Struthio camelus: one gene and its partners. The protein of the gene in region 1 binds, or shares a complex with, the protein of each later gene. Links are inferred from orthologs where the notes say so. Each region holds a gene or a part of one and is shown in the gene's direction. Other genes may lie near its edges.

The links.
Region 2: FNIP1 (region 1) and LAMTOR5 share a complex: the UniProt entries of both Homo sapiens proteins name them as parts of the lysosomal folliculin complex. The link is inferred for Struthio camelus from reciprocal best matches to the Homo sapiens genes FNIP1 and LAMTOR5.
Region 3: FNIP1 (region 1) and LAMTOR1 share a complex: the UniProt entries of both Homo sapiens proteins name them as parts of the lysosomal folliculin complex. The link is inferred for Struthio camelus from reciprocal best matches to the Homo sapiens genes FNIP1 and LAMTOR1.
Region 4: FNIP1 (region 1) and LAMTOR3 share a complex: the UniProt entries of both Homo sapiens proteins name them as parts of the lysosomal folliculin complex. The link is inferred for Struthio camelus from reciprocal best matches to the Homo sapiens genes FNIP1 and LAMTOR3.

The regions. Positions count from the first base shown.
Region 1 is NC_090954.1:2,847,823-2,854,919, forward strand, and holds the start of FNIP1 (folliculin-interacting protein 1), read left to right. Parts: upstream 1-4,086; 5' UTR 4,087-4,212; coding exon 4,213-4,301; intron 4,302-6,103; exon of another isoform or gene 6,104-6,234; intron 6,235-7,097. UniProt on the Homo sapiens protein: Binding partner of the GTPase-activating protein FLCN: involved in the cellular response to amino acid availability by regulating the non-canonical mTORC1 signaling cascade controlling the MiT/TFE factors TFEB and TFE3.
Region 2 is NC_090965.1:4,483,359-4,490,966, reverse strand, and holds LAMTOR5 (ragulator complex protein LAMTOR5), read left to right. Parts: upstream 1-4,920; 5' UTR 4,921-5,021; coding exon 5,022-5,056; intron 5,057-5,168; coding exon 5,169-5,230; intron 5,231-6,135; coding exon 6,136-6,253; intron 6,254-6,730; coding exon 6,731-6,791; 3' UTR 6,792-7,104; downstream 7,105-7,608. Other genes in the region: PROK1 (prokineticin-1), read right to left, coding at 1-99, 1,567-1,692, 2,691-2,780. UniProt on the Homo sapiens protein: As part of the Ragulator complex it is involved in amino acid sensing and activation of mTORC1, a signaling complex promoting cell growth in response to growth factors, energy levels, and amino acids.
Region 3 is NC_090942.1:224,068,219-224,075,091, forward strand, and holds the start of LAMTOR1 (ragulator complex protein LAMTOR1), read left to right. Parts: upstream 1-3,870; 5' UTR 3,871-4,004; coding exon 4,005-4,046; intron 4,047-6,873. UniProt on the Homo sapiens protein: Key component of the Ragulator complex, a multiprotein complex involved in amino acid sensing and activation of mTORC1, a signaling complex promoting cell growth in response to growth factors, energy levels, and amino acids.
Region 4 is NC_090945.1:27,874,993-27,882,402, forward strand, and holds the start of LAMTOR3 (ragulator complex protein LAMTOR3), read left to right. Parts: upstream 1-4,396; 5' UTR 4,397-4,533; intron 4,534-4,637; 5' UTR 4,638-4,676; coding exon 4,677-4,685; intron 4,686-4,972; coding exon 4,973-5,007; intron 5,008-5,893; coding exon 5,894-5,952; intron 5,953-6,804; coding exon 6,805-6,938; intron 6,939-7,410. UniProt on the Homo sapiens protein: As part of the Ragulator complex it is involved in amino acid sensing and activation of mTORC1, a signaling complex promoting cell growth in response to growth factors, energy levels, and amino acids.

The DNA.
Region 1 (7,097 bases):
AGCTGGATCTTTACCCTACCATCATCCCAATACAGCTATCTTATGATCAGCACTAGCATCATATACAGTGCCCAATCACTGTCTTTCCATTTCATCTCGGTTATTCTGTAATCCCACCTATTTCCACACGGTTCTCCTTCAGCCCACGTGTGTTCAGGCACCCCCAGAATCCCTGCTATTGGGGTACTTGTTTCAGTCATCTTTAACTTCCCATCATTTCTTGCCTCCTGCTACCTTCAACTTCCTTTTTTTTAAACTTCAAGTAGAGAATGCATGTCTCACTAAAGTAACATGATGCAGCTCTTCATGCTTTTGGCTTAAGTTTCTGTTAAAATTACAACCTGGAACTGCACTTTATGTATGTCACATATCAATAGTCCTAATAAACTCTTTATTTTCTAGTGCAGAGTTGAGGCTTAGGTACAGATGGACCTCCCCAATGAAACAGTGACTATCTATTGAATCTTCTTTGCCTTGCAGGCAAAGTACTCACCTTTTTTCACTTAATTTGTGCTACGATACAATATAACCTCTTGGTAGAGAGGCTGGCTTGATGCCCTGTGGATAAGCAGAGAGGAGGGCTCAGAAGGCCCATGTGGTAATGAAAGATGAGTAGTCATTGTGTCCTCAAGACTTGTGCAGAGCAAGTAGGTGCCTTACCTGAATAAAAGGGGCGGGGCGGGGGAACCCCTAACGTACCTGAACTATCTCGAGAGCTGGATATTGGCATTCTGGATTTTCAAGTTATTGCTCATGCTACTTGGCATATAGGTTAGATTCCCAGTGCTTCGAGTTCAGTCTGTGTGTTGTTAATCTATAAATGTCATTCTTCAAAAGGGTGCTGAACGCCTCAACAAAAAGCACGGACAAGAGTATAGTCTTCTCTCTTGCGTATATTACAGACCAAAGTAGTTTGGATCCCTAGAATGTTCTCACTAACAACAACCCTTACTCAGATTCTCTCCTAGAAATAAAGGAAGCTTCTCCGTGTTTTAAAAAGATAGTGTTGCTTTCCAGACCACTTGAAGCTTGAGTTTGTTTCTCGATATTATGAGCTAGGATTTTCATGCCCTGGAATGTATTTCCAAATTTCCAAAATGAGCATGTCAAGAAAACAAAATGCAAAACTCTGATTAGTTTGACTACATTTGGAAGTACCTGTGAAAGTTGAGACCCTGAACCTATTCCCATTGCTCTGGGGTAGAGTAAAATGCAAATATGTGCTGTTAGATTTAGTCCATAAACAAGTATTGTATAAACATATCATATGGCTCAAGGTTAAAAATGATGCCATTAAATTATTTTCCCTTTAAGCATTAGTAGAGTGAGTTCTGCCAGTAGCTCGTTTGAGTCCCCTTGGGAATGCTTCTAATTACCAATATCCTTGTTCCTACAAATACTAAGCCACTAGTAATTAAGCGTGCAAGAATCTAGAGCCCCTAGGTGATAGAGGTTAGTGCCTTGACTTAACTTTTAATTTTGCTTAAAGCTGTGTATCTAAGAAATTGTGATTACAATGACTATTCAAGTAACATTTCACACTTAAAGGGCGATCCAGAATACACTTACAGTAGATACCTCTTTTATTCTAGGAGTCCTAGAAAAAACACTTATTTTGCCCCAAACTGTTTCATAGTTTCTGTATGAGAAACAGACTAATACTGACATATTCACTGGGGAGTACAAGACTTAAAAGGCATAGTCTGTAAACGTGGCCTTGGCGGTAGCAGCCTGAAAATTCCCCAGATTTACTTTGTTTTCCTCAGTGTGATGGGAACGTATAGGAGGACAGAAATATCATGAGCCACGATCTCTCTTGTCCTTCCCTTCAGTTATGAAAGCACTGCTTCTTATTTTCAGCTTTTATCTGACTCTTAGAGAAAGTATAATTAATTACCAGGCTAGTTCTCCGCCCCAGGGAAGGAAATTTTATTTGTTTTGAAGCCACAACAATATCTACTCTTGTTCTGCTTTTTTCCGAGGGTAGGCATTTTCCCCATGTTTGAAGCTGAAGAATGACTACATATAAAATTTCACTCCAAGTGGAAGTTGGCTTTTCCATATTAGTGGGAAAAGGTTATGGGTCACAGCCATTTAATGGGTTGTACAGAAGCGCCTATTTGTGCAGTGATTCAGGAGAGAAGTCTGGTCAGTGTCAATAGGGCTGATGTGTCACAAATCTAGACATGACGAAGTCTTAATGATTTGAATGGAATCACTTAAAATGAGCCAGTCTATGCAAGAACTGTGTTAATACTTTATCACTAGGAAATGTGTATTGTAGTTGCATATTTAGAGTATGTATTGTACATAAAGCTATTAAGAGTTTTTTTTGTTAACAGAAATAACTGAAAATGTTATGTGAAGCGTACTTTTAGGAGATCTTAAAGGGCTTGGAGGGACTGAGAAATGTTTTGCTTCATGCACTGGAGTACTCTAGGGGTATGTGTACCAGCTATTGGAGTGTAAAGACCTTGTATGCAAATAGCTCTATCTGTTGGTTCACAATCTCTAAAGGCTGAAAGTACAGGTTTGGGGCCCAAGGCAATGTTTACTGAATAGACAGATAAGTAGAAATTAACGTTCTTTGCTTAGGTGTGAGGATTTGCCTACAGGGAGATTTTTTTTTATAGGAAAATGGACTATTAAATTTGTATTTATCCCTTTTTCTCTGTCTGTCCTCCCCTCCACTGTCCTGATTAAGATAGCTTAATCAAGCCTATAAGAAGCACTTGCTGTTTAAATTAGGAGCTTTGGAGCAGATTAATATTCAGTTTTAAGTGGACTCTATCAACTTGAATTTTAATGTACTTGAGATGGCTAAATCTTCTTCAGTACTATAAACTGCAACTATGAAATTGTATTTTCTGGCCAAAATTCTACTATTTGGTAGGATTCCCAGTTTTATGAGTATGCGGGTTTTTTTTGTTTGTTTGTTTTTAAATTTGAAACTGTACTTTTATGCCCACCTTGAAGCTAGCTAGCTTTTACTTGGTGAAAGGATTGATCCATAAAGATCTATCCACAGCAGGCAGGCCTATCCTCCATAGAGAACAAGGGAAAAAGATGCATCTGGACTTTGATTCCTATTTTCTGTCATAATTATCTTCAACTTTTAATGGCTGCAAAACAGAAGTTCTTACAGCTGGCTGATTGTGAAGTATAATTTTATTTTTTTATATATATATCTAAAATGACATAAAATAATATATAAAATGTGTTACACATGCTAAATTATCCCTCTTAAAAGAATCTACTTAAACTAGTTTAAATTAATTTAATTTAGTTTAATCCCATTTTCCAGAGAAAGCAGTTGAGTGACTTCACTTTTATTTAGTCAAATGAATTAAAAACTAACTTTCTAGTAGCGTTCTGTCTGCATAGTGCCTTGTCTCAGAGACAGTGAGGGAGAATGGTAGCTATAACTAGTATTTCATTTCTTTAAGTATTTTACTACTACACCGTTCTGCAGAACCTGTGGATCCTTTTCATTTTTTTTATAAAATAGAGCAACGTTGTTCCGTGTTTTGTTTTTGGGGGGGTCCTGGGGGGGGGGGTACGTCTTGCTTCTCTGTTTCTTCTGGCCTCAGGGGCCGGGCATGCCGGGGGGCAGAGGGAAGTTTCAAGCGGGGCGGCGGCAAGGAGGGCCGCCTCGGGGCGTTGCGTCCGAGCTGGGCCGCCTCGGCTTTCGCTCTGAGGCTGGGGGAGGCTCCCTCGGAGCCACCGGGGCAGGGACTAGGGCAGCGGACAGGGGCCCGGAGCGGGATTTCCTGGGTCTGGGGCAGAAACGGTTACGGGCGAGGCTGCAGTTAGCAGCAGGTGAAAGCTGCCGAAGCGTTAGTTACAGCGCCAAGGAGCGAGCGGCGGCAGCGTGACCTTTTTGCCCATCTTGCCCTGCTCTTAATTCCCCCGGGAGAAAGGAAACTAAGGCTGGCGGGCGGGTGGCCGTGTCGGGGGGCGGCGGGCTCCGCGTCTTCCCCCCCCCGGCGGGGCCGGCGCCGCAGCCACTCAGCGGCCCGCGCAGCGCAGCGCCCCGCCCGGCCCGGCCGCGCCGGCCCGCCCCTTCTGGCAGCGCCGAGTGACTAATTTCTGTCATATGACTGTGACACCGAATGGAGTCGGGCTGGCGGAACTAGCCGCTGCGAGGGGACGGCGCTGCGCGGAGCCCAGCGCCTCGGCGGCGGGGGCCAGCGGCGGCGGCGGCGCCCCACCATGCCGCCCACCCTCTTCCAGAAGCTCTTCAACAAGAAGCACGGGCTCATCTCGCCCGCCAGGGACTCCCGGGACGACTGCGTCTTCAGGTGAGCGGGCGGGGCCGCCCCCTTCGCCGCCGCCCCCCCCCCCCAACTTCTGCCGCCGACTTCCCGAAGGGGCCACGGCGGGAGGCCGGCGCCCCCCTCCCCCGGCTTCGCCCCTCCGCAAGCGCCCCGCTCCGGGGCGACCGGGAGCCCCGGGCCGCTGTGGCGGTCGCCGCGCTGCCCCCTCACGACGGCGCCGCCTCCTCACAGCGCGCTGCCCCCTCACGGCGCTTCCTCCCCCCGCCGCGCGCGGCGTCTCCTCACGGCTCTTCCCCCCCCCCCCCCCCCCCCCCCGCCGCGCGCGGCGTCTCCTCACGGCTCTTCCCCCCCCCCCCCCCGCGCGGCGTCTCCTCACGGCTCTTCCCCCCCCCCCCCCGCGCGGCGTCTCCTCACGGCTCTTCCCCCCCCCCCCCCCCCGCGCGGCGTCTCCTCACGGCTCCCCCCGCGGCGGCCTCCTCAGCGGAGGGCTCCCCCGCGCCGCCGTCCCGCTCCCCCGCCGTCTCCCCGCCGGTTTTGCCCGGTGCCGAGGGGCAGCGGCGCCCCGAGGGGGGGGGGGCCCTCCGCTGCCCCCCCCACCCCGGTGCAGCCGCGATGCGCGGGGCGGCCCGGGGGCTGAGGCGGGAGAGACGCCGTTCCGCTTGGCAGAGGCAGGCGGGAGCAGCCGTAAAAACGTGCGGGGAAGGGGGGGGGCATAGGGGGAAGAGGCGAAAAATGCGAAATTTTCGCAGCCGCCAAGAGAGGCGTAGGGTTACTCGTGAAATTCGTCGTGATATAACCACGACAAGCCTTGGATCCCCCGAAAGGGGCCAAGCACAACGTTGGCAGGCAGAAAAAGGGGGAGCCTTTTATTTATTTGTATATTGTTTGCTCCCGGAGGACTTTCCTGCCTGTTAAAAGCCTGGGTGAGGGGTGGGTTGGAGCGGGGGGGGGGGGGTCTGCGCCGGCCCCGTCGCCAAGGTGGGAGCGTTGGTGGCGTAGGGGACGGGACGCCCCAGAGGTCGGGGCGCCCCGGCCTGGGGAGCTGCTTCGGGTCCTGCCTTGGGACGTGGGTGGATCTGCGCTGTGTTTCCCTTAGCCCCCGCTCTGTCAGGGCCTAGGGCTTCGCTTAAAGGTTAGCTTAGAAACGGGTAGTTTTTGTGGCTGTACGATAGTTATCTAGATGCTGAACAGCACTTCTGTCGTCGGCTGGAGCGGTGTAAAGGTAACCTGAAAAATCATGCGAAGATTGCACCTTAAGTGCAAAACAAAACCCCCAAAAAACAGAAAAACCTCCCATGCTTCGTTAGCAAGAGATACGCACTTCTTGAAATGCTTCTAAGGTAGTGTCTTAATCCCCCCTGCAGTATCTTGAAACTTGTTGCCAAATGATCAGCCCTTGGGTTGCTCTGTAAAGGGAGATTATCTGACTGATGGACTTAATTGTGTATGATTGCATATTTCCTTAACTGCACTAATATGATCTCAGAAAACGTTTTAGGTGGTTAATAGCACAGTATTTTCAGTGCCACTATTTCACAGAATATTGATGGATCTTTTGCGTTCTTACGCAGTCACAAAACGCTGCTGGACACAACCTTAAGTCCAGTGCGGTAACCAGACTTCACTGGGCAAGAAACTGATTATAGCTGCTCAGACACTTCTCTGTCACTTACCTTGAAGGGTTTGTTTCTCTTTTTGAATGATATGTTTCATGAGGCAAAACTTCTTAAATTGTGTCTCGGTCGTCTTATTTTCTACGCTAGCTTAATACAGGGATGTGACCACTTGACTGGGAAAGGGTGCCGGGGCTGTTCTGTGTAATTGCTGTGCATTTCTCACTCTGCCAAGACGCTTCTCAATGATGAACTTGTATGGAGACTGGTGGTTAATTTAACAGCTGCAATGCAGACCCTGGGGCAGAAATGTGGGGATCACACCTGTGTTGAAAGAAGTGAAAGTGAGTACTCTCCAATGTCTCTTCTTCCTCTTAATGTAGATCACTGTGCCAGGCAGCAAGTGATCTTTCCAAATGATATGACGCTCTGTCTGCTCCTACCTTCCTCCAAAACGCTGTCCTGTTTCATTTGTATAGAATCCAAAGAGGATGCTGACGGTTCTTATTTGCAAGACTCAAGTATTATTTTTAAGACCATTACAAATGATTAACTGTTGCTGAACTTATTTCATTTTCCAAATGGGGATAGGTCTTTAGTTAATCCTCCCTATGTATGATCTTATCGGATACTGCTGAAACTTTTGGATAATGTGCAAAATAAAGACCCTTATTTGCTACAGCTGGGTTTTTAGAGGTGGGAAACAAGCATTCTGGATTTTTAGTCTCTTCCTGTGTTTTAGGTAAACCTGAAGGCAACAGTCTCATCAATTTCAGAGATACAAAGTTATGTTTGTGTATTGTTGTTATCATCTGCCAGTATTTGGTAATGTCCCAGTTTGTCAAGTTTTTCTATATATGAGCAGTTTACTTTACAGAAGCTGTCTTAGGAAATCACACAAGATATACTGCTTGTTAGTATTTCAGCTCTTAACTGAGGACAACTGGCAGGCTATTATTTATATTCTAAAAAGCAGAACCTTTTCCAACTATTCTGAACACTGTATTTCTGATTGTCTTCACTTTGAAAACCTGGTACTCTTAACTGAGGAGACTAGGTGGAACAACCATTAAAAATACATGAATTCACTTAATATGTTTGGAGGTTAACGTATTTAGAGGCAAAAGCTCAACTGCTCTGGAAATGACATCAGCACAACAGAACACTTAAGGGTGATTTTGGTTCTTTTTTTTGACTATGAATATAT
Region 2 (7,608 bases), on another chromosome or scaffold:
GTCGAGCGAGCAGCGGTGTCGGCCGTCGCCGAACCTCGAGCACGTCAAGTCGGGCAAACAGGGGCAGGCGTGGTGCTGGCGTTTCCCCAGAAAGGGCACCTGCGGGAGGAAACGGGAGAGCCGACGGCGTCAGGGCTCCAGGACCGTCCACCCGGCTGCAACCCGCCGGGAGCCCACGGCACCTTTCGGTGAGCCCACGGCCAGGCAAAAAATGAGAGGTTTTTTTTTTTTTTTTCCCAGCTTAACGCCTGATGCTGGAGCCCTGGGGGAGATGGAGAGATGGGGGGGAGGCGAGATTTTTTTCCCCCCGTGCTCGGACGGACCGAGACGCGACCCTGGGGAGCGCCCTCGCCGCGGCAGCCCTAGGAACCCCACCGCGGCAGCACGAAACCCTCCCGGGAACACGTGGCGAAACGTGGCAAAACTGCTTTTCTCCGCTTGCGAGGACATTCCCGCCGGGGTGCTGACGGCAGCGGGTGTCTCACGGGCCACTCCGCGGCTGAGCTCCTTAAAACTAGGATTTACTCCAGGGAGACGGCGAAAGGCTTTGCCGCTCGTTGCTCAACCCACCCACCCGTCTGCCCATCTCCCTTCCCTCCCTCCTGGGCTGCAGTTAAACGCTGAGATTTCGTGCTGGCGGGTCGCTTCTCCCTTTGGGCAAGAAAAATATCAAGGGCGATTTAAGCCCAGAGAATTTATCTTAGGTTCTGCTTGGGGGTTTAACGGAGATGGGTCCAAAATGAAATCCCGATTCCCGCCGGCGTCGGAGCGGCAGCGGCCTTGAGCCTTGCTGCCGGCAGGCAACATCGATCGCCGTGGCGTGGGCTGAACACCCACGGCAGGAGCAGCGCTTCGGGATAAGCCAACCGCGTTTTGTGCCTCTTGCCGGCCAAAATCGCCGCGCTTGGGCCGCCTCGGAGGCATTAACTCGGCTTCTCCTGGCTCGAGAGAGCATTTGCGGGTCGATTTGGAGCGCCGGGGCACGCGCTTCTCGAAATAAATGGCAGGCACAGCTCAATCTCCGGGGTGCCGAGCTGCCAGCTACCTGCTGATGGATGGGTGCAGCCCACCGCGGAGCAGCAGCAGGATTTCGGGCAGGGCTTTGCAGGGCTTTAGAGGATGCGGCTGAAGCCGACGTGCTCCAGAGATCGCTGTTAGGCGCCCGAGGTGCTCGCTGCAGTTTGGCAGGCGCGGGGAGGGGGGAAGCCGAGGCAGGGAGCTTTCAAACGCAAGGCTTTGCGACAAGCACCCGCTTTGGCTTGGTTTGGATTTGCCCTCCTGGATGAACCCCAAGCTGGGGGGGGGAGATGGGTCTGCTGGGAGATGTGGTCTTTTCCCAGCTACGCGGAGCCGTTTCCGCCTCGCCAGCCCTCCGCCGCCGGCCAAAACGCTGCCGGCGGCTTCATCCATCCCATCCCCGTCCCAGGCGCCCCATCCCTCCTCCGTCCGGGATCAACCCAGGGATCTTCCCACGCTCTTCTCCCGCGCCGGAGAGCAGCCCCGGCGCCCGGCTGGGTGCCACCGGCGGGGCGAGTCCCGGCCCGAGGCAGACCCCGGCGGCGGTACCTTGTGGCTGGCGGGGTGGCACTCGTCGCCCGCCTGTCCCAGCGGCGTGCACATCCGCAGGCCCCGGAGCCAGAGGCTGACGGCGCAGCAGGTCCCGCTCCCGCACTGCAGGTCCCGCTCGCAGGCCTGCGGAGAGGCAGAACAGCCGTCGCCCGCCGCCTTCCCCCCTCCGCCCGCCCCGCTCCGGAAACCCCCACCCAAGCTTTTTTGGAGTGCATTTTGGTCATCGGGGTTTGCATGTCTGCCCGTCCTGGGGGAAACTGAGGCACGGCAGGGGTATGTGCGACAGGCGGCTGGAAACACTGCCAGATTTCGCCATCATGCCCCAAAGCACCTAAAACTGAGCTGATGGGGCACCTCCAGCACCGGACCGGTGCTCACGGGGCTCGTTTTGCTCCCGGCACAGCGCTGGGGTTGCTCATGGCCCCTCAGGACCCCTTTTCCACCCCTGGATTTTCCCATTTCCTCGAGAGCCAGCTCTGACATGGCATTGAGAAAAAACAGACTTCGGAGTGACTTTATATTCAGGAACAATACGGACTTGCTGAAGGAAGAAAAGCGAAAGAGCGAGTAATAAACTCCTGCAAAAAAGCCCGAAGCAACCAGGGAAAGGTGTCGCTAACTTTTCCATCCCTTTTTCTTGGGAGCTCACTGCAAATAAGAGAGGTTAAAAGAGGCAGGGAGTTAATTCCACATCTCTGAACAGACAGTTTGACTTTCGGCAGCACTGGGGGACGAATTGCAGAGCGAGGTTAAAGCAACAGCTTGCCCCAGAAACAGAGCCCTCGGCTCTCAGCAGCATCGCTCACGGCTGGCACGGGCTTTTCCTGGTGTCGCCCCCCCTGGAATTTGGGACCAAACCGCCAATCGTTAATTCGCGTGCTGGTAAAATCACCGCGTCCCTTGCTTTAAAAATAATAATTAAAAAAAAAAAGACAGCTTTAAGGTAAAACATCAGAAATGAGGAGCATTTTGGGGAGAAAGAGAGGGACTCACAAATCACTGCTCCGCACTCGCCCGGGGCGGGGAGGGGGGAGGCCGGGGCCGGCTCCCGCGGTCGGGCGCAAACTCTGCCCGATTTCCAGGACGCGCGAAGCCCCCCAGGGCGGCGGGCCCCGACTCACCCCGGTGATGACAGCGCACCGCTGGAGCGGCGGCAGCAGCAGCAGCAGCAGCAGCAGCAGGCGGCAGGCGCCCTGCAGGACCCTCCTCATGGTGCCGAGGCGCTCGGCCGCGCACCCAGCTCCGCGAGCGCCCGTGCCTCGCGCCCTATATAACGCCCCTCCGTCTGCCCCGGATGCCAGTTGGGTATTTTTTTTTTTTTTCGGATGAGCTCAGAAGAAGCAGATGAGACCTGACTCGCTAACGGTAGGAAAGAAATATTAATAAATCACCCAAGCAGCAGGGGATAAAACATCACCAGTCACCTGGGCTTATTTTTCAGTTAAGCCAACACAACTGGATTTTTCAAGCATACTTATAGACACATACATTTATCCCTGCCTGACGTACTTAAGAATTCAACTAAGAATTTTTGACTATTCAGCCAAAGCCAAAGACGTGACAAAAAAAATGAGCCTGGGACTTCCCAGATCATGGTGCACAGCATGGAATAAAGTGGTGGCCTGTGATAAATACCCTGCCCTCCCGCAGCGGCCCGTGAAACTCAGGGTGGCTCTCTCAGCGCCTTCTCCTACCTGAAAAAAGGGGGTTTTGTTTAAAAAGAGCATCAAAATTTCCCCAGTGTTCGTGCAAAGGGTTAGAAACCCCTCCTTCCCGATGGACGCTGTGCCGTTGCAGCCCGGTGGCTTTTTGCGCTGATTTTTGTTCCTCGCTCTCCGTCCTCGGTGTTTCTCTTTGGCTTTTGTTCAGCAAAATCGTGTCGAATCAAGCTGAATGCAACCTGGGCTGCATTTCTGGTGGGAAAACTTTTTTCCCACGGTGGGAAAACCTTTTGCTGGCAAGGCCGCAGCAAGGTCCCCCCCTCACCTCCCTCAAGCCATTGGGTACCATCACCGCAGCATCCAGGCTGCCCGTGAGCATTAATGAATTCAGCCCCCTCTGTCCGTTCCCCAGGAGAAGCAAACCAGGAGAGGAAACTGAGTCACGTCAAGACCCACATTAAAATAAAAAGGGCTGCCAATAGGAGCCGCTTCATATTTAAGTGGGCGCCAGGCTGAGCGCCCACAAAACCTGAAGCGCTGAAAAAACAGCGGCTGCCATCGCCGATTTGGGGACGTGAATGAAATCCAGCCACCGGCCTCAGCAGCCCCGGGGTGACGCTCTGACCCCGAGGGGTTTATTCGGGCTTTTCTGCTGCCGGCAGAATTTCTCCTGGAGAGCCTCTCCGTGAGATGCTAAATTGTCTATATATTTAATTAGCTGGCACACTAAAAATAGCCGGGCAATTTTCTCCGCTGGCGAAGAGCGATTCTTCTGAAGCGGCAGCTGTTCTGACGGGTCCTACCGCTTCGGTAAGGTCTCGTCCACCCGCTCTTGGATTAATTACTCCCAACCCCCTAAATTGCCCCTGTTGAGCCAGAAACACTGAAGTCTCAGGGCAGGGAATGGCCTGAAACCTGCTGGTTTGGGCCCATTTCCTTGCAAAGGTCCCCGCGGGGCAGAGAAGACGCAGAGCCCGGTGGCTACGTGCCTTTTTGCTCCGCGTCGTTTCCCAAGGTGGAAACCCCCCGCCGCCTTGGGAAAGGCTAGGGCCAAAAGCGGGCTCCCGGCGAGCAGGGCCGCGCGGAGCCCGGCTGCCGCCGCCGGACCCCTTTGCAGCTCCCCCAGGAGAAAAATGGATATTTCTGGGCTTCGCCTCTCCCATCAATAACGTTTCAATTTTCCGCCCTGACAAGCCGAGAGGCAGCGAGCGGCGGCGGCCAAAGCGGCTCCAGCCGGTGCCTTATTAGCAATGCGGACGCGCTGGTTGTAAATCTTCCTCCTCCTCCTCCTCCTCCTCCTCGCCACCTGCGAGGCTGTGTTTTGGGAGGGCTCCCTTGCAAAAGCCCCAGATGCGGGCAGCACCAGCGCTCCCAGTTATCCCAGTGCTGCAGCCGCCAGCATCCGGATGGGAGATTTCTCCCTCTATCGTTTGTGCCCCCCCCCCAAAAAAAAAACCCACACTCATTATTTGGGGGGAAAAGGCTGTTCTGCCCTTTTTTAAGGGGGCTCCGAGCGGCTCCCTGAGCCCCCGCAGCGCATCCTCCCTCGGATGGTGGCTGGTCCCTGGCGTCGCGCAGGGCTCTGCCGGGAGGCTCTCGGCCCCGGAGGTGCCGGCCAGAGCGGGCGCGGTTTTGGGGGAGCCGCCGCCCCGCGCCGCCAGCGCAGCGAGTGCCGCCCGCGTTCGCGTAGCGACGCCTTTCGGCCCCGCGGAGCCGCCGTCCGCCAGCGCGCGTCACGTGAGCGACGCCGCCGCCAGGAGCGGCGGGGCAGGGCGGAAGCGGCGGGGCGCCATGGAGGGGAGCTTGGAGCAGCACCTGGAGGACACGTGCGCCGGGGGGGGGGGGAACCGGGGGAGGGGGATGTTTTGGGGAGGGGGAGGGGGGAGGGAGGCACCGGGGCTGCGCTGACCGCTCACCCACCGCCGTCTGCCCCCGCAGCATGAAGAGCCCGGCCGTCGTGGGCGTCCTGTGCACCGACTCGCAGGGCCTGAACCTGGGGTGTAAGTAGCGGAGCGCCCGTGTGGGGGCACCGGGCCCTGCCTCTCCCCCCCACCCCGGTTTGGGGGGGCACCGGGCCCTGCCTCCCCCTCCCCACCCCGGTTTGGGGGGCACCGGGCCCTGCCTCCCTCCCCACCCCGGTTTGGGGGGGGCACTGGGCCCTGCCTCTCCCCCCCACCCCGGTTTGGGGGCACCGGGCCCTGCCTCCCCCTCCCCACCCCGGTTTGGGGGGGGCACCGGGCCCTGCCTCCCCTCCCCACCCCGGTTTGGGGGCACCGGGCCCTGCCTCCCCTCCCCACCCCGGTTTGGGGGCATCGGGCCCTGCCTCCCCCTCCCCACCCCGGTTTGGGGGGGCATCGGGCCCTGCCTCCCCCTCCCCACCCCGGTTTGGGGGGGCACCGGGCCCTGCCTCCCCCTCCCACCCCGCTTTAGGGGGGGTACCGGGCCCTGCCTCCCCCTCCCACCCCGCTTTAGGGGGGGTACCGGGCCCTGCCTCCCTCCCCACCCCGGTTTGGGGGGGGCACTGGGCCCTGCCTCCCCCTCCCCACCCCGGTTTGGGGGCACCGGGCCCTGCCTCCCCCCCTCACCCCAATTTAGGGGCACCGGGCCCTGCCTCCCCCCTCCCCAGTTTGGGGGCAACAGGCCCTGCCCTGCTGGACCTCTCCCCCCCCCCCCCACCAATTTGGGGACATCGGGCCCAGTCCTGCCCCAGCTCCCCTCATTTGGGGTCACTCAGTCCTGCCAAAGCCCTCCCACCCAGGCCCTGCCCCACTGAAGTCTCCCCCCCCACACACACACATTTTGGGACATGAGGCCCAGGGAGGGCGGCAAAGGCGAAGGGCTGGAGCAGCCCCACAGCACCGTCACGGCGAGCGCGGCTTCACCCGGCCTCTCCGCCGTCCCGTAGGCCGAGGCACGCTCTCCGACGAGCACGCCGGCGTCATCTCCGTCCTCGCCCAGCAGGCAGCCAAGCTCACCTCCGACCCGACCGATACGCCCGTGGTGTGCCTGGAGTCGGACAGCGGGTGAGCGGCCGGGCCTGGCGCATCCGCCGCGCTGCTTTTCTCTCCCTTTGCCTTTCGCTTCAGCCTTGGAGACTTTCCTCCTCTCAAGCTGAACTGGCAGACACGGAGGAAGCCCCATCTCAGCCTAGATGCCGACACAGGCACATGAAAGCAGTAGTTTAATGGGATCTCCAGTAGCAGGAACTGGAGAAGCAGCAGGAAGCCTCTCAGAGGCTGGTGGCTACTCCAGCTCTATGCTTCTTCCCCACTTGGCATCTACATGGATAATTAAGCCCATCCTGTAGCCTCAGCCACTGTTTTTGCCAGTGTGGTAGGCAAAGGACAGGTCTAGCACACAGCTGGGGGTTGCTGCAGCCACGAAATGATACCGCTGTCTGCTTTCCCACCCGAGTCAGAGCTTCGTCATCACTGCAGCTGGCTTAACTGCCTCAAACATTACTTTTTTGTTGTCGGTTTTTTTGTTTTGTTTTGTTCTAGGAATATCATGATCCAGAAGCACGACAGCATCACTGTAGCAGTGCACAAGCTGGCATCCTGACCTCTCGGGAACCTGTGCAGCGCTCCCACCTCCAAACCAGCTCTTCCTCACTGGACAACCACTCTCCTCTGCTGCTCCAATGCAGAACGTGCTTGTAGGAACCAAATCTGGCCTGAAGGCTCTTCCTCTTTACTTAACAGCTCCTGTGCAGCTATCGGGTTCTTCAACTCGCATTCTAGCGGTCATGCTGCCAAGAATGAAATGTGGGTCACCGGCCAAGCTTGTGTAATGATCAGACAATACGAGGTGTGCGCGTGTGTGTGTGTGGCCTTATTTGTTAGAGAAATCAATAAATGACCTGCAAAAACCTGCATTTGCTTCTCTCTGCTCCTGCTGCAAAAACTGTTGCCTCTTGGTCTGACAGAAGTCAGGGAGCTGTTTCCAGAGCCAGGTGAGGTAGCTCCTCCAAACCCTTCTTCCTCAGCATTTCTCTAGATAAATGGAGCAGTGCATAAAGAGTTGAATTAAGGGAGGCTCCTCCAGTGGAAAAGGCACAAAAACTTTCCTAGGAATTTTTTTCTAGGAAATGTTTAGCCTCCTCTGGTTAAACTTCCTGCATGAAGGTTACTTGCTTACCATGCCTTGGATTGAAGTTCAAACTGAAACTTGTTTGCCCTGGCTGTGCTGCCTGCCCCCGCTCTGCGTGAACTGGATGTTGATTACACCTTCACCAATCCAGGCCAGTTTTCACCTTACAGATTCAAGCATTTCAAATGCTGCTGGGAACCAATCCTGCAGGAAGCCTTTGCCCCTTGCAGTACTGGTAAACTCAAATTCTGCCTATGTATTTAAGAGAGGGAAACAGAGATTACAGCTT
Region 3 (6,873 bases), on another chromosome or scaffold:
GTAAGGACACGTGCACACAGTGCAGAGACACATGTGCCCGCCACGGGGACACATGCACACGCTGCAGCGATGTGTGCACGTGCCAGAGGGACACACGCACACGCCGTGGGGACATGCGCACGTGCCACGGGGACACATGCACGTGCTGCAGGGATGCATGCACACCGTGGGGACACATGCACACGCCACGGGGACGTGTGCACATGCCGCGGGCCCCTCGCCCCCTCGTCCCGGCTTTGCCAAACCTGTGCCCCACACCTGACACCCTGCACCCCACACGCTGCACCTGGAACCTGCTACCCCGGGGCCCTTCTCCGTGCACCCCACAACTCGCCCCCCCGTGCCCTGCGCCGAGCCCCCCACCCTGCGCCCGGTTCCCTGCCGCCAGCACCCTGCAGCTTGAACGCGACACCCCGCACCCTTCCCTGCCCACCCTGCAGCTTGTACCCTGCCCCCCGCACCCCCCACCCTGCCCCCTGCACCCCCAACCCTGCAACCCCAACCTGCCCCCTGCACCCAACACTCTGCCCTTGCACCCCCACCTTGCCCCACACACCCTGCCCTCTGCAACCCCCTACCCTGCACCCCCTACCCTGCTCCATGCACCCCCCCACCCTGCACCCCTACCTTGCCCCACACACCCTGCCCTCTGCACCCCCCCACCCTGCACCCCCTACCCTGCTCCATGCACCCCCCCACCCTGCACCCCTCACCCTACCCCACACACCCTACCCTCTGCCCCCCACCCTGCACCCCCCCACCCTGGCCCCTGCACCCGACACTCCACCCTTGCACCCCCCACCCTGCACCCCGCACCTCCCACCCCCCACCATGCAACCTGCACCCCCCACCGTGCCCCCTGCACCCCACCACGCACCCTGCACCCTGGCCCCTGCAGCTCCCCCCCTGCACCCCATACCCCGCACCCTGCACTGCCCACCCCGTACCCTGCCCCTGCCCCTTGCACCCTGCGCCTCCACCCCGCGCCGGGGCCGCAGGGCCCAGCCGGGGCAGGCGCTGCGTCGGGCCGGCAGGGCCAGGACGGCTCCTACCTGTCCGTCCCGGGCGGCGGGCAGGCCGGGCCGCGCGGCCCCAGGCCAGGCTCGCCAGCGCCCGGCCGGCAGCCCCTGCGCAGCCCAGCTCCCCGCTCAATTATTGATGGTGTCACCTTAGCCGCAGCCGGCCGCCGGCTCCGGTTACCGAGCTGGGGCGAAGCTGGAGCCGGGGCCCTCGCAGGGGCTGCGGGGGGAGGCTGCACCTGGGGAGAGATGGGTGCAGGAGGTGGAGGGATGGGTGCAGGAGCTGGAGGGATGGGTGCAGGAGCCGGGGGATGGGTGCAGGAGCCGGGGGATGGGTGCAGGAGGTGGAGGGATGGGTGCAGGAGCTGGGGGATGGGTGCAGGAGCCGAGGGATGGGTGCAGGAGCCGAGGGATGGGTGCAGGAGCTGGGGGATGGGTGCAGGAGCCGGGGGATGGGTGCAGGAGCTGGGGGATGGGTGCAGGAGCTGAGGGATGGGTGCAGGAGCCGAGGGATGGGTGCAGGAGCTGAGGGATGGGTGCAGGATCCGGGGCATGGAGGCAGAGCAGTGCCAATGACACCTCATCCCCGCATCCCTCCAGCGGCCCTGCGTGCATTCGGGCGGCGCGGGCGCTGCTCAACGGCCGCCTGCACCCGAAGGCCGCTCGGCCGCGCCGGGCTGTGCAGGGCGCAGGTTGGCGCCGTCCCGTCCGCCTGGCGTCAGGCACGCCGGCGCCGCGCCGATTCCCAGCTGGCAGCTGCCGCCGCGGGACGGCGCAGGGCAGGATGGCGACGCCGGCGCTCCCGACGGCCCGGCTGCAGCGGCTCCGGGGACGCCGGTGTGCCTGGCATGGGGCACCCGGTGCGGGGTGCAGGGTGCCGGGAGCACCAGGAGCAGCAGGAACTGGGAGCACTGGGCGCAGGCAGCACCAAGCCCTGGGAGCACTGGGTGCCGGGAGCACCCGACACCAGGAGCACTGGGTGCTGGGAGCGCTGGGAGCACCAAGCCCTGGGAGCACTGGGTGCCGGGAGCACCAGACACCAGGAGCACTGGGTGCTGGGAGCACCAAGCCCTGGGAGCACTGGGTGCCGGGAGCACCCGACACCAGGAGCACTGGGTGCTGGGAGCGCTGGGAGCACCAAGCACTGGGAGCACTGGGTGCCGGGAGCACCAGACACCAGGAGCACTGGGTGCTGGGAGCACCAAGCACTGGGAGCACTGGGTGCCGGGAGCACCAGACACCAGGAGCACTGGGTGCTGGGAGCGCTGGGAGCACCAAGCACTGGGAGCACTGGGTGCCGGGAGCACCAGACACCAGGAGCACTGGGTGCTGGGAGCACCAAGCACTGGGAGCACTGGGTGCCGGGAGCACCAGACACCAGGAGCACTGGGTGCTGGGAGCGCTGGGAGCACCAAGCACTGGGAGCACTGGGTGCCGGGAGCACCAGACACCAGGAGCACTGGGTGCTGGGAGCACTGGGAGCACTGAGTGCCGAGAGCACCAGGGACTGGGAGCACTGGGTGCTGGGAGCGCTGGGAGCACCAAGCACTGGGAGCACTGGGTGCCAGGAGCACCAGACACCAGGAGCACTGGGTGCTGGGAGCGCTGGGAGCACTGAGTGCCGAGAGCACCAGGGACTGGGAACACTGGGTGCTGGGAGTGCTGGAAGCACCAAGCACTGGGAGCACTGGGTGCCGGGAGCACCCGACACCAGGAGCACTGGGTGCTGGGAGCGCTGGGAGCACCAAGCACTGGGAGCACTGGGTGCCGGGAGCACCAGACACCAGGAGCACTGGGTGCTGGGAGCGCTGGGAGCACCAAGCCCTGGGAGCACTGGGTGCCGGGAGCACCCGACACCAGGAGCACTGGGTGCTGGGAGCGCTGGGAGCACCAAGCCCTGGGAGCACTGGGTGCCGGGAGCACCCGACACCAGGAGCACTGGGTGCTGGGAGTGCTGGAAGCACCAAGCACTGGGAGCACTGGGTGCCGGTAGCACCAGCAACTGGGAGCACTGGGTGCTGGGAGCAGTGGAAGCACTGGGAGCCAGGAGCATGGGCCCCACGTTGGCCCATGCCCTGGCGCTGTGGGGGGCACGTGTGCAATGCACACACACGTACACAGCCAGGCACACGGGGGCAGCGCACGCACACACTCACGTGCGCCTACCCACGTGCCCACCCCCACGCCCACGTGCGGTGTGCACATCCATGTGACCGGCCACAACCCTGCGTGGCACACCCCCACGGGACACCCCCATGCCCATGCACAGCGGGGGGGCCACGTATGTGCAGTTCACCCCACCCCGGGACCACGCACACACCCCGGACCCGCGCGCACACACCCACGAAAGCACACACCCACTGCAACAGGCGTGGACAGTGCGCGTTCCCGTGTGCCACACTCGCACCCCCGTGACTGTGCGCGCGCGTGCAGCGCGCCCTCCCGGGACACCACGCACGCGCCTGTGCCGTGCCGTCACCCCCCCGTGGCAGCGCCCACGCGCGAGCCCGCCACGCCAACCCGGAAAGCGGCAAGACCGCGGCGTCCACGTGACGGTGCCCGCGCGAGACCGGCGCAGGCCCCCCACGTGACGGCGCCCACGCGCGAGCTCGGCCCGCGGCGGTCACGTGTCGGCAGCAGGCGGCTGGGGGGGTGGGGAGCTCCCCCCCACCGCCACGTGCTCTCCGCTTCGCGTGCTGATTGGCTCCCCCGCACGTGACGGCGCGCCTTTAGCTGCGGCGGGGGGGGGGGGGGGGGGTGTGCTCCCGTTCGGATTGGTCCGCCTGCCCACGTGACGCCGGCTGGGCCGGGATGGCGGGTCACGAGGCCGGAAGCGGCAGGAGGGGAGGGAGGGAGGCGGCTCCGCCCCCGCCCCCTCCGCGCGCTGCTGGCGCGCGGCCGCCGCGCTCACGTGACCGGGGCGGCAGGGCCCCTGCCGGACACCGTAGCGGCGCCGCGCCCGGCCCGGCCCTGCTGCGCCTCGCCATGGGCTGCTGCTACAGCAGCGAGGCCGAGGCCTCCGACCAGGTGCGGGGCGGGGGCCGGGGGGGTGTGGGGTGTGGGAGGGGGAGGGCAGGGGGTGTCAGTGGGGCGGGGTGGTGTGGGGAGGGGGGAGCTGGGGTGTCAGTGGGGGGGAGGGGAGCTGGGGGGTGACAGTGGGGCGGGAGAGGTGGGGGAGGGGGGAGCTGGGGTGTCAGTGGGGCGGGAGAGGTGGGGATGGCAGTGGGGCGGGGGGGAGGGGAGCTGGGGGGTGGCAGTGGGGCGGGAGAGGTGGGGGAGGGGAGCTGGGGGGTGGCAGTGGGGCGGGAGAGGTGGGGGAGGGGAGCTGGGGGGTGGCAGTGGGGCGGGAGAGGTGGGGGAGGGGAGCTGGGGGGTGACAGTGGGGCGGGAGAGGTGGGGGAGGGGAGCTGGGGGGTGACAGTGGGGCGGGAGAGGTGGGGGAGGGGAGCTGGGGGGTGACAGTGGGGCGGGAGAGGTGGGGATGGCAGTGGGGCGGGGGGGAGGGGAGCTGGGGGTGACAGTGGGGTGGGGGGATGTGGGGGGAGGGGGGAGCTGGGGTGACAGTGGGGCGGGAGAGGTGGGGATGGCAGTGGGGCAGGGGGGAGGGGAGCTGGGGAGTGACAGTGGGGCGGGAGAGGTGGGGATGGCAGTGGGGCAGGGGGGAGGGGAGCTGGGGAGTGACAGTGGGGCGGGAGAGGTGGGGATGGCAGTGGGGCAGGGGGGAGGGGAGCTGGGGAGTGACAGTGGGGCGGGAGGGGAGCTGGGGGGTGACAGTGGGGCGGGAGAGGTGGAGATGGCAGTGGGGCAGGGGAGAGGGGAGGTCAGGTGGTGACAGGTGGGGGGATGTGGGAGGAGGGGAGCTGGGGTGTCAGTGGGGCGGCGAGCTGAGGGTGGCAGTAGGGCGAGGGGAGGTCAGGGGGTGACTGGGGCAGGAGCTGGGGGGGGTGACAGTAGGGCGGGGGGGCTGGGGGGTGACAGTGGGGCGGGGGGGAAGGGGGGCTGGGGGGGTGACAGTGGGGCGGGGCCTGAGGGAAGGTACCATGGGGGTGGATGTGGGGTGTGTGAGGGGGAGGGGAGCTGGGGGTGACAGTGGGGCAGGGGCCTGGGGGAGAGCACTTGGGGTGGCGGTGGGGCAGGGGGACATGGATAACAGTGGGGTGTGGGGAGGGGAGCTGGGGGTGGCAGTGGTGCTGGGGGTGTGTTTGGGGGGGGAGCTGGGGGGTGACAGTGGGGCAATGGGATGTGGGGGGAGCTAGGTGTGACAGGGAGCCAGGGGGCTGGGGGAAGGTGCCATGGGGGGGTATGGGCTGTGTGAGGGGGAGGGCAAGGGGGGGCAGTGGGGGGAGGGGAGCTGGGGGGGCAGTGGGGCAGGGGGATGTAGGGGGGAGCTGGGGGGGCAGTGGGGCAGGGGGACAGTGGGGTGGGGTGATGGGGGGGGAGTTAGGGTGGCAGTGGGGCAGGATGTGGGGGGAAAGGAGCCGGGGTGACAGTGGGGCAGGGGGATGTAGGGGGGGAGCTGGGGCAACAGTGGGGCAGGATGTGGGGGGAAGGGAGCTGGGGTGACAGTGGGGCAGGGGGATGTAGGGGGGGAGCTGGGGTGACAGTGGGGCAGGGGGATGTAGGGGAGAGCTGGGGCGACAGTGGGGCGGGGGGACAGTGAGGTGGGGGGGAGCTGGAGTGACAGTGGGGCAGGATGTGGGGGGAAGGGAGCCGGGGTGACAGTGGGGCGGGGGGACACGGGGGCAGTGGGGCGGGGGTGGCGGGAGGGATGGGGGGAGGCCGGCCAGTTAGTGAGCCTGGGCGGGGGAGGGAGGCCGGTGAGGGGGGGCCTTGGGGGAAGGGGCACGTTGGGGGGCATCAGTGGGGTGACAGCGGAGGGGGTGCTGGCGTGAAGGTGGGGTGCTGCTCGGTGGGCCTGGGTGGGGGGGAGCGGCAGTGGGGCGGAGAGCTGGGGGGGGCCCGGGGGGCTGAGCGCTGGGGCAGGAGGGGTGTCAATGGGGCAGCAGGCGGGGGGGGTTCGTTAGGGCGCCGGTGGGGCGAGGGTGTTTAGGGAAGGGGCTGAGGAGAGGCCCTGCGGGATTTCGGGGCTCTTGCCATGCTCTTGCGGGTGACGCCGGCGCGCCGCTGCCGTCCTCCGCCTGGCGCCGGGGGGACGGGGAAAGGGGGGGAGTGGCCTGCCCTGGGCAGGGCTGGGGCTCGGTCTGCGGAGCCGCTTTTGGGGAAGGCTTGCGGGAGAGGTGTCGCGACCCCTCAGGTCTTGCAGCCAGGCGCCGGGCCCCTCCGTGGGGAGGGCTGCGCGGCGGCTGGGCTCCGACGCGCCCTCCGAGGCAAACGGAGGCCACGGCTGGGACTCGTCCCTCTGGTTCCTTGGCCTCGCCGGCCTCTGGCTGGGGCAGAGGATCTGCTGCGGCCCTCTGGCTCGCGGCTTCCTCCTTCCACACAATAGGAAATGGGCCGGACTTTTGTTTTCGGAGGAAAGGTTTGGCCTTGATGATGTTTGTCACGTGGTCGGAGCAGGGCGCAGGGCTCGGGGGACTGTTTGGGCTGAGGCCCGGCCTCTCCGGTAAAAGCTGTTTGCAGGTTCCCCCCCTCACCTGACCCCATCCTCTTGGGTGCCCTTCTCCCGAATCCAGCGCAGGCTGGTGGCAGTCGCCGCTGGGCTGGTGCGTGGGCTCGGGGCGGTGTGGCGCCCTCGATGGCGCTCTCAGGAGATGGGTGCTGCCTTCAGAAATCCCACGTGCACAAATAACAGCCAGCTGTGCCTTAACCTGCTGGTCCCGAGCGACAGCATCGCGCTGACCGAACCGAGAGGCTGGCTTTGGTGCTTGTTCCTGCAGGTGGTGCTTGTAGCGCG
Region 4 (7,410 bases), on another chromosome or scaffold:
ACTAATGAAACAAACTGTCAGAGTACATATTGATACTCCTGTGTGTTCTTAATAGAAAAAAAAATGTTTCGAAGGCTTTAGCAAGTACTCAGGCCTTTTGATTCACAAACGAGTCTGAGCTTGCAGTTGATTTTTTAGTTAACAGAGTAAAATGGATGTATAACACATTTGTCAAATATTGGAACAGTGAAGTCAAAGTTAAGAGATGGTCTTAGCAAAGCTGCTTATAATAATCTGATGGGTTATGTCTGCTCTGCAGTTACTTCTGCTTCATCTGAGGAGGTGGTAAATGAACTGCTGCTGAGCAGGTTTATGCTGGTTAGATCGCTATTAGTATTTCTGCAGACCGGAATAACGCAATGCCTGTGTCCTGTAGCGACGTAGACGTCCCAGTAGGTTACGAGTGAGACATAGGCTGTTAGGTTTCTTTGGATTATCTATTGTAATAACTCTTTTAAAAGAAGAAACAGCTAATATGTTTAAACTGGTGGAAAAATGCTACTTCACATTTAACAGATTAAATAGTTGCTGAGTTTGAATATGCAGTAGCATGCAGAATGTAGAAGGATGATATTATTTCCTGTAACATAAATATTAATTTGCTTTAAATATGGCCTATAAACATTCTGTTAATGTTTCTAGTGGGTGCTTCTCTCGCCTAGTTGTTACTTTGTTCCTGAGTCTAAAGTTTTTATCTTCAGAAATGTCGTCATCTTCCCAGGTTTGCTGAAGGAATCTGCTGGAAAGTTCAGAGTGAATCCTTTTATGAGGAAGGTGCTAACTGAAGAGAGTGGAGTACTTTAATCTTTTCAGATGACCTTTCTTCAAAAGGTTAAGTACTCATACAGTTAAGATACTAGAAAGAAAAGGGAAAAACAAAACTGTGATTTTGAACAGCCTCACTTAAAAACCCCTCAGCTTCTCCAGCTGCTTAGAATTAACTGCTTATTCTTTGGATTTAGTCTAATCTAGAATTAAAAACAGGACAAACATGGGTTCTTGATTTCTCCTTTAGAAGAGCAAGTAGGAAAGTCTTTCAAGAAGTAAAAAATCTTGGCGTGCGATTCTGACATACCATAATGAAAAAAGGGAGGTGATTTGCATCTGCTGAAATAACATCGATATCTGTTCTATTTATGGAGCAGCCTGAGTCATGAGCAAGTTCATTGTTCCCATCTGATGAACATTTGCCTGCAAGTTCTCTACCTGTTTAGGGAAAACGAGATTAAATTTGAATTTTTGACTTTTTTTTTTAAACAGTCTCAATTCTTTTATAAGTTTCAAAGAAATATAAAAATACATAGTCACTAAAATGTAATGGATGCTTTTAAATAGGCAGCAGAGGCAACTGTAAATCATGGACATTTTTAATATGCTGTTGTAATGAGTGCAATACAAGGATTAAAGTGGCCAGGCAAAAATACATTTTTTAAGGTTGTCTGCTCCATAAATGTCATGAATCGTCATCATCCTTTCCTAGTGTAGATCTTTCAAACACAGCAGAAGAAAGCAATATCGGATGGTCAAACAAATGCTTTGTTAGAGGAAATCCAGTCAATATGCAAATTCCTGAAATTGTAATTTTAAAAAAGTACTAGCTTCCTAGTTGTCTAGATCTGTTCAATAGACTGCAGTCAGTTTTGCCAGAGGAAGCTTGGTCATGATGATTAATGATGACTGGCAGCCGCAAGCCCTGGTGCTGTATCGCCGTTTTGCTACGGATTTACTATAATCTTGCAAGCATCACTCATCTCTGGGCTTTGTTTTCCCCATGCACCTTTGTAAACCACTTTAGGGAGCCTGGACAAAAGGTACCACATAACAAATGTAAAACATTGTCAGCAGTGCCATATTTGAAGGGTGATCTAGATATTTTTCAGAGCAAATAGTACAAATGTAATAAATATGGGAAAGAAATATGCCATTATAAACCCTCCTCCCCATATATCTGTTCTCTGGGATAGCTGAGACTTCCCAAGCTGGCAAGAATTAAGCTTGACTGTCAGATTTTTCAGGATTTCTCAGGGCAGGGTTTGCAAGCACAGGCTCTGTGTATACATAGGCTGTCACTGGGACTGGAGACGAGATTGCTGATAACTTTAAAATGCAGGAGTCATCTCATAGATGCTCTTGCACAGCTTTCAGTCAGTACTTAGTGTGACAGAGAAGGAAGTAGAATCAATCACTTAGGATGATGCTGCCAAATTTTAACAACCCAGTTGCATTTTTAAATATTTTTATTGTATGGTGAGGAATATCTTAAGAAATGAATGAATCAAGGTTTTTGCATGTAACATTCTCAAAATACTACCAGGAGCTCACATATGAGAATTTTATGGGGATTGCCTTAAGTGTTGCTCTAGTGTGACTAAGTCCCTTTTTAAATTGCCGTGTCTTGTATTTAGAAAGATGCATAGATTCTCAAAATGCAAAGGAATCTGCCCTTTATTACTGAACTTTTCCTCTGTGCCTTGCAAAATTGGCTTGTATCTGGTTATTTGGGTTTTTTTTTTGACCTCACAAGACTTATATGTTCAGAAACATTAGCAAGTTTGAGTCAAGTTTTTTTTTTTTTTCCTGAGCTCCAGTATTGTCATCCAGACAAAATCTTCAGATTCTCAGCCGTGCTCAGTGTGTAGCAGCTCTCCTTCAGAGAAGGAGCACTGTTATATGTTGAACACTCTTTGAAATGCACCACCGTGGTCCTAGGTTCTGACACAGCACGAGTTTTAAGATAGATACACAGTTTCTGTTTTTATACAGTGAGCATCTAGTGGATGAATCTGCTTTGTTTCCTCACCTGAATTTGTTAAATTGTTAGTCTGCAGGTGCATGGGACAAGATCCAAAAGTATGGGTATGTTTATGGGAGATGAGCCTCACTGGAAAAGTGAAACTAGGCATAACTATACTAGGCAGAAATGGACATTTCAGTTTTTGTTCCTTTAACTTAGATGCGAGGGGGGGAATTCTCCAAAACTGTGCTGTTTCCCCCGATCTTCCTAGAAGATGAGCTGTGGTGCTTACTGGAAAAACAGAACCCTTAGTTTTGCTCTGTGTTGACTGCAAGAGAAGAAACATCCGATTCCTATGAAAATAGCTCAACTTCCCGAAGTATTTGAATGCAGACAATAGTTGTTGAGGTTTTTATTCCGCTGCCATTGAAACTAGCACAGCATCTTGTCTGGAATTGTCCTGGGTGTCCTAAATGGAATTAAACAGCTTGTGCCCGAGGGGCTCTGGGGGATCCCAGTTCAGGTCGGAGCCCCAGGGGGGCACAGAAAAGCACAAGGTTCCCTCCCTCTGGTTACCTCTGTTGGTGCCACAGAAATGCTTTTTCTGCCCAGATGGTGAAATAGGCAAATCGGCCAAGCAGCCCTGCGTGTCCTGCAGGCCTCGGCCAGCTGTAGGCGCAAAGGCAGCGTGGGAGGAAAAGCTGCTGGAGCAAACAAAAAAACAAAACAAAACAAAAAACCAAAAAACCCTATCTTTTAAGTTTTTGTGCTGGTTGGTGAAAAGTAGCTGCTAATCTTGCAGTAATCTCTTAGGTGAATTTTGTAATCCTTACGGGGAAATTGGAAATTTCAGACTCCCTTCTTAGTTTCATTGTCACTGTTAACAACAGGAATTTGTTCCAATGTGTTTGATTTCTTCTAAGCATGGTTTAAAAAAAAATCCTTATATTAAGGATTATGCAAAGTGTGTGGGTTTTTTTTAAAGCTTTTTGCATGTATACTTTCCCTGGTCAGGATATAGTTTCTTTCAGATGCCAAGGTTTGCTGGTCTTGGGGCCACTGTGAATACTGTGCATGCGCATGTGTATAGGTGTACAGATTTTTTCCAGCTAATACCTCAAATTTGTGATTGTTTTATATTGTGCTACTGTAAGTTTGCACAGAGCAGGGCTTCCACTGGCCGTGAAAAGTGCCCACCTAACTTTGACAGCTCTGGAGTCGATTCACTTTAAAAAAAAAAAAAAAAAGTGTATTTTTCCAGTAAGCGAAGTGTTTCCCTAGCAGGGGACGTTCCCGGAATGAAACCCGGAGCAAGGGGCTGCTCAGGCTCGTAGACGAGCACTGCAGTGCAGGAGACCTCCGGAAAAAAAAAAAGAAAAATCAAATATTAGCGGGAGCCTGGCAAAAGGGGCTGCACTGAAAGGGGTCCCCCAGCAGGAAACGGACTTTATTTTGCCAATGCGCAGTCGAAGCTCACGAGTGAGGTTTTAAAAGACTTGTGTGGTTTGTAATATACCTGATGTAACACGGGACTGGCATCAAAATAAACTTATTTTCGGTGTGAAAGGCCGCCCGCGCTGTCTCTTCTCTCCGCCGCCCCCAGGGCTCCTGCCGCCGGCGCGGCCGCGTTTGGCCCCGCCGTCGCACCGTAGCCGCGCCGCGGTCGCGCATGCTCGGCGCCTGCCAGCGGGACGAATCTGGCGCTGCCGCGGCGGGGAAGCGCTTCCGGGGCTGTGACGGCCGCGTCGTCACGTGATAGCGGCTTAAAGGGGAAGTGGCGGTGGCGGCTGCGCAGGCAGGTGAGCACTGCCCCCCCCCTTCCCCCCCCACCCCCCCAACCCGGGCCACCCGCCGTTCCCGGGGCCGCCGCGGCGCTGGTGACCGTTGGTACGTTGTCCCGCAGGGCCGCGGAGGTGGCAGCAGCGCCGGGAGGCCCCGAGCCATGGCCGACGTAAGTGCGAGCCTTGGGGTGGGGGGGCTGGGGCCGCGGCCGGGCCCGCTCGCGCGGGGGGTGCTGCCGTTGGGGCGGCGGTTGGGCGCGCGAGCAGCCGTTAACGGCCGCCGCCCGGCCCGCGCCGCCGGGGAGGGAGGGAGGGAGGGGGGGGGGCCGGACCCGCCGGACTGCTGGCGGCGGTCGCGGGGGGAAGGGGAGCCGCCGGCAGCGGGCAGAGCCGGCTGCGGCGCTGTTCTGCGTGCGCTTTCTCTGAGGAGCAACCTGACGGCCGTCTCTCCCTTCAGGACCTGAAGAGGTTTCTCTACAAGAAGCTGCCAAGGTAACGTGGGCACCGCACCGCGCTCGGGTGCCGGCTGCCTGTCCTGTTTCGCAAGTGGTGCGTTTGCGGTTTTTGGGGGTGCTGTTTTGTGGGGTTTTTGGTGTTTTTTTTTTGTTTTGTTTCGGATCTCCAGTGAAGGTAATACAATGCGGTGGCTTTTGGAAGCATCCTTATCTAGCCTGCCAGTGTCAAACGTTTAAGTTGTTTTTAAACTGTGCCAGAGGATGTCTGTGCGGTATCTGACTCGAGAGAACTGTCAATTACTAATCCCTTTTGCTGTTAAAGAGACATGGTTAATCCGAAGGTTAGTGTACTTTTCTGTTGTGTAAGTGAGCTGGAAGTACCTTAAGATGAAACCAGCTTAACCTTGTACTTGTGCGTTTGAAAGGAAGCCCAGTATGCTTTATCACTTCTCAATGAGAAGTGGAAAAAAACACTCCTGGTGACTCAGTCTCCAAGTCCTTGATAACTCAGTTTGGGGTAATTTTAAGTTACTAGTATCATTAAACAGCTGCAGTCAGGAGATCATGCACAAACACAGTGAAACTGGCACTTATTGACTATATACTATATCTCAAGTCTCTTGCTTGGCTAATGAAACTTTTACAGTAACATTCCTCTTTCTGCTGCTGAAAGTTCCACACCATCTTCAGTATTTTTATTTTATACTCACTGTTTTAATTCTTTCAAGAGACCGTGGTTATTGAGCAGTATGTATTTTACAAGTCTCTTCCTGTTGAGTAGTGTTTTCATGATAGGCAGAGCTTACTGCAGCAATTTTTTCCGTATTGCTTTCTTCCCTTTCTTGCATGTTTGTGCAGAAAAAAAACTCTTTGTCACTAATTATTCTTCATTTTAAAAGGTGTATTTTCTTTGTTTTCTGCAGTGTTGAAGGTCTTCATGCTATTGTAGTATCAGATAGAGATGGTGTGCCTGTTATCAAAGGTAAACTTCAGCTTCTCACTGTGTGCTGCAAAGGGGTGGGTAAAAGAATGACAGACTTTTGTGTTTACAGCTGCTATCTGTGAATATCAGATTTTTGCTTTAATAGTTAATTGTGTAATCCTTTCATCTATCTATGTTTATGCAATGTTCCTGATGATGTAGTCCACAGGACTTTTCTTCTTTTGCATCATCAGTGAACATGGTTGGAATGGTATAAGGTGTTTGTATCTTCAGATCACTTGCAGGTTGTTATAAGGTGCTAGGAGGGAAGTTAGTGATGTTTAGTTAGCATAATACCTTGAATACCTTCTGATCTGTGCTCAGAAGAATTTGCATCCAACTTACAGGTTTTATGTGACTCGGTTTGCTTTTTTGGCACTATCATTTGTATCATGTCTCTGCAGTTCTTGTTTAAGATGTTTATACGTTGTAGGTAGAATAGTTTAAGAATGCAAAGATTCAGGTACCTGAAAATATTTACGTCCCAAAGTACTTAAGTGCCAAGCAGATTTTGCGTACCTTCACCTGCCTTCCTGCAAATGAATGCTTGCTGGTGGAGAATGCTGAACCAAAGCAGCACTAACACAGACTGTGCTCCATAAAGGAAAAGTGTTTCTTAGGAGTGCAAGGAAGGATGCTGGTGTAACGACCACAGGTCGTTTACTGAATGTTAACCTATATACTGCTTTTGAAGGTTGCCCCATAGCAGTTAGTTGTTGCAGAAGTGCTGGGGGACAAATAATGCATCTTGTACACCAAATCTACATTTGGAACAGCACCAAGTTGAATGAGGATTTGTGATGCGGTCATAGATACCATGTAAAAACAAAAAATGTTCATGTTTTGTTTCAGTTGCCAATGATAATGCTCCAGAACATGCACTTAGACCTGGCTTTCTGTCCACCTTTGCCCTTGCAACAGATCAGGGCAGTAAACTAGGACTTTCAAAAAACAAAAGCATCATCTGTTACTACAATACATACCAGGTGAGGAACAGCATTGCTTGTTCTTACTGGCCAGAGCAATTCCTACATTGAGAAAGGAGAGGGAAGGTGGTTTAAGCTGTGGTAGGTTTCCAATAGGCTGCTATTAAAATACTTATGTATGTTTTATTTCTGGTGCTACTTAAAGCTAGCTAAGTTAAACATTTGCGATATTTGTTGAGCTACTTTCCTGTTTATCAAACCTGAGAAGATTTACTCATTGAAACTGGTGAGCTTTCCTGAGCAGATAGTAACCAGCAATTTGCTGCAGGTGCTGTTGAAATGGCCTCCAGAACTTGTTATGATGGGTTAACGTTCTCTTGTACAAATGAATACTTGTGTGTTTATGATCAGAGACACCTATTAAAAAAAAAAAAAAAAAACTTCAAATAAGCACATCCAGCTTACTTCACAGTTAATCTTGCTGCAAATAAGACTTCAAGAAAAGAAAGTTTTGAAATACCCATTCAATTTT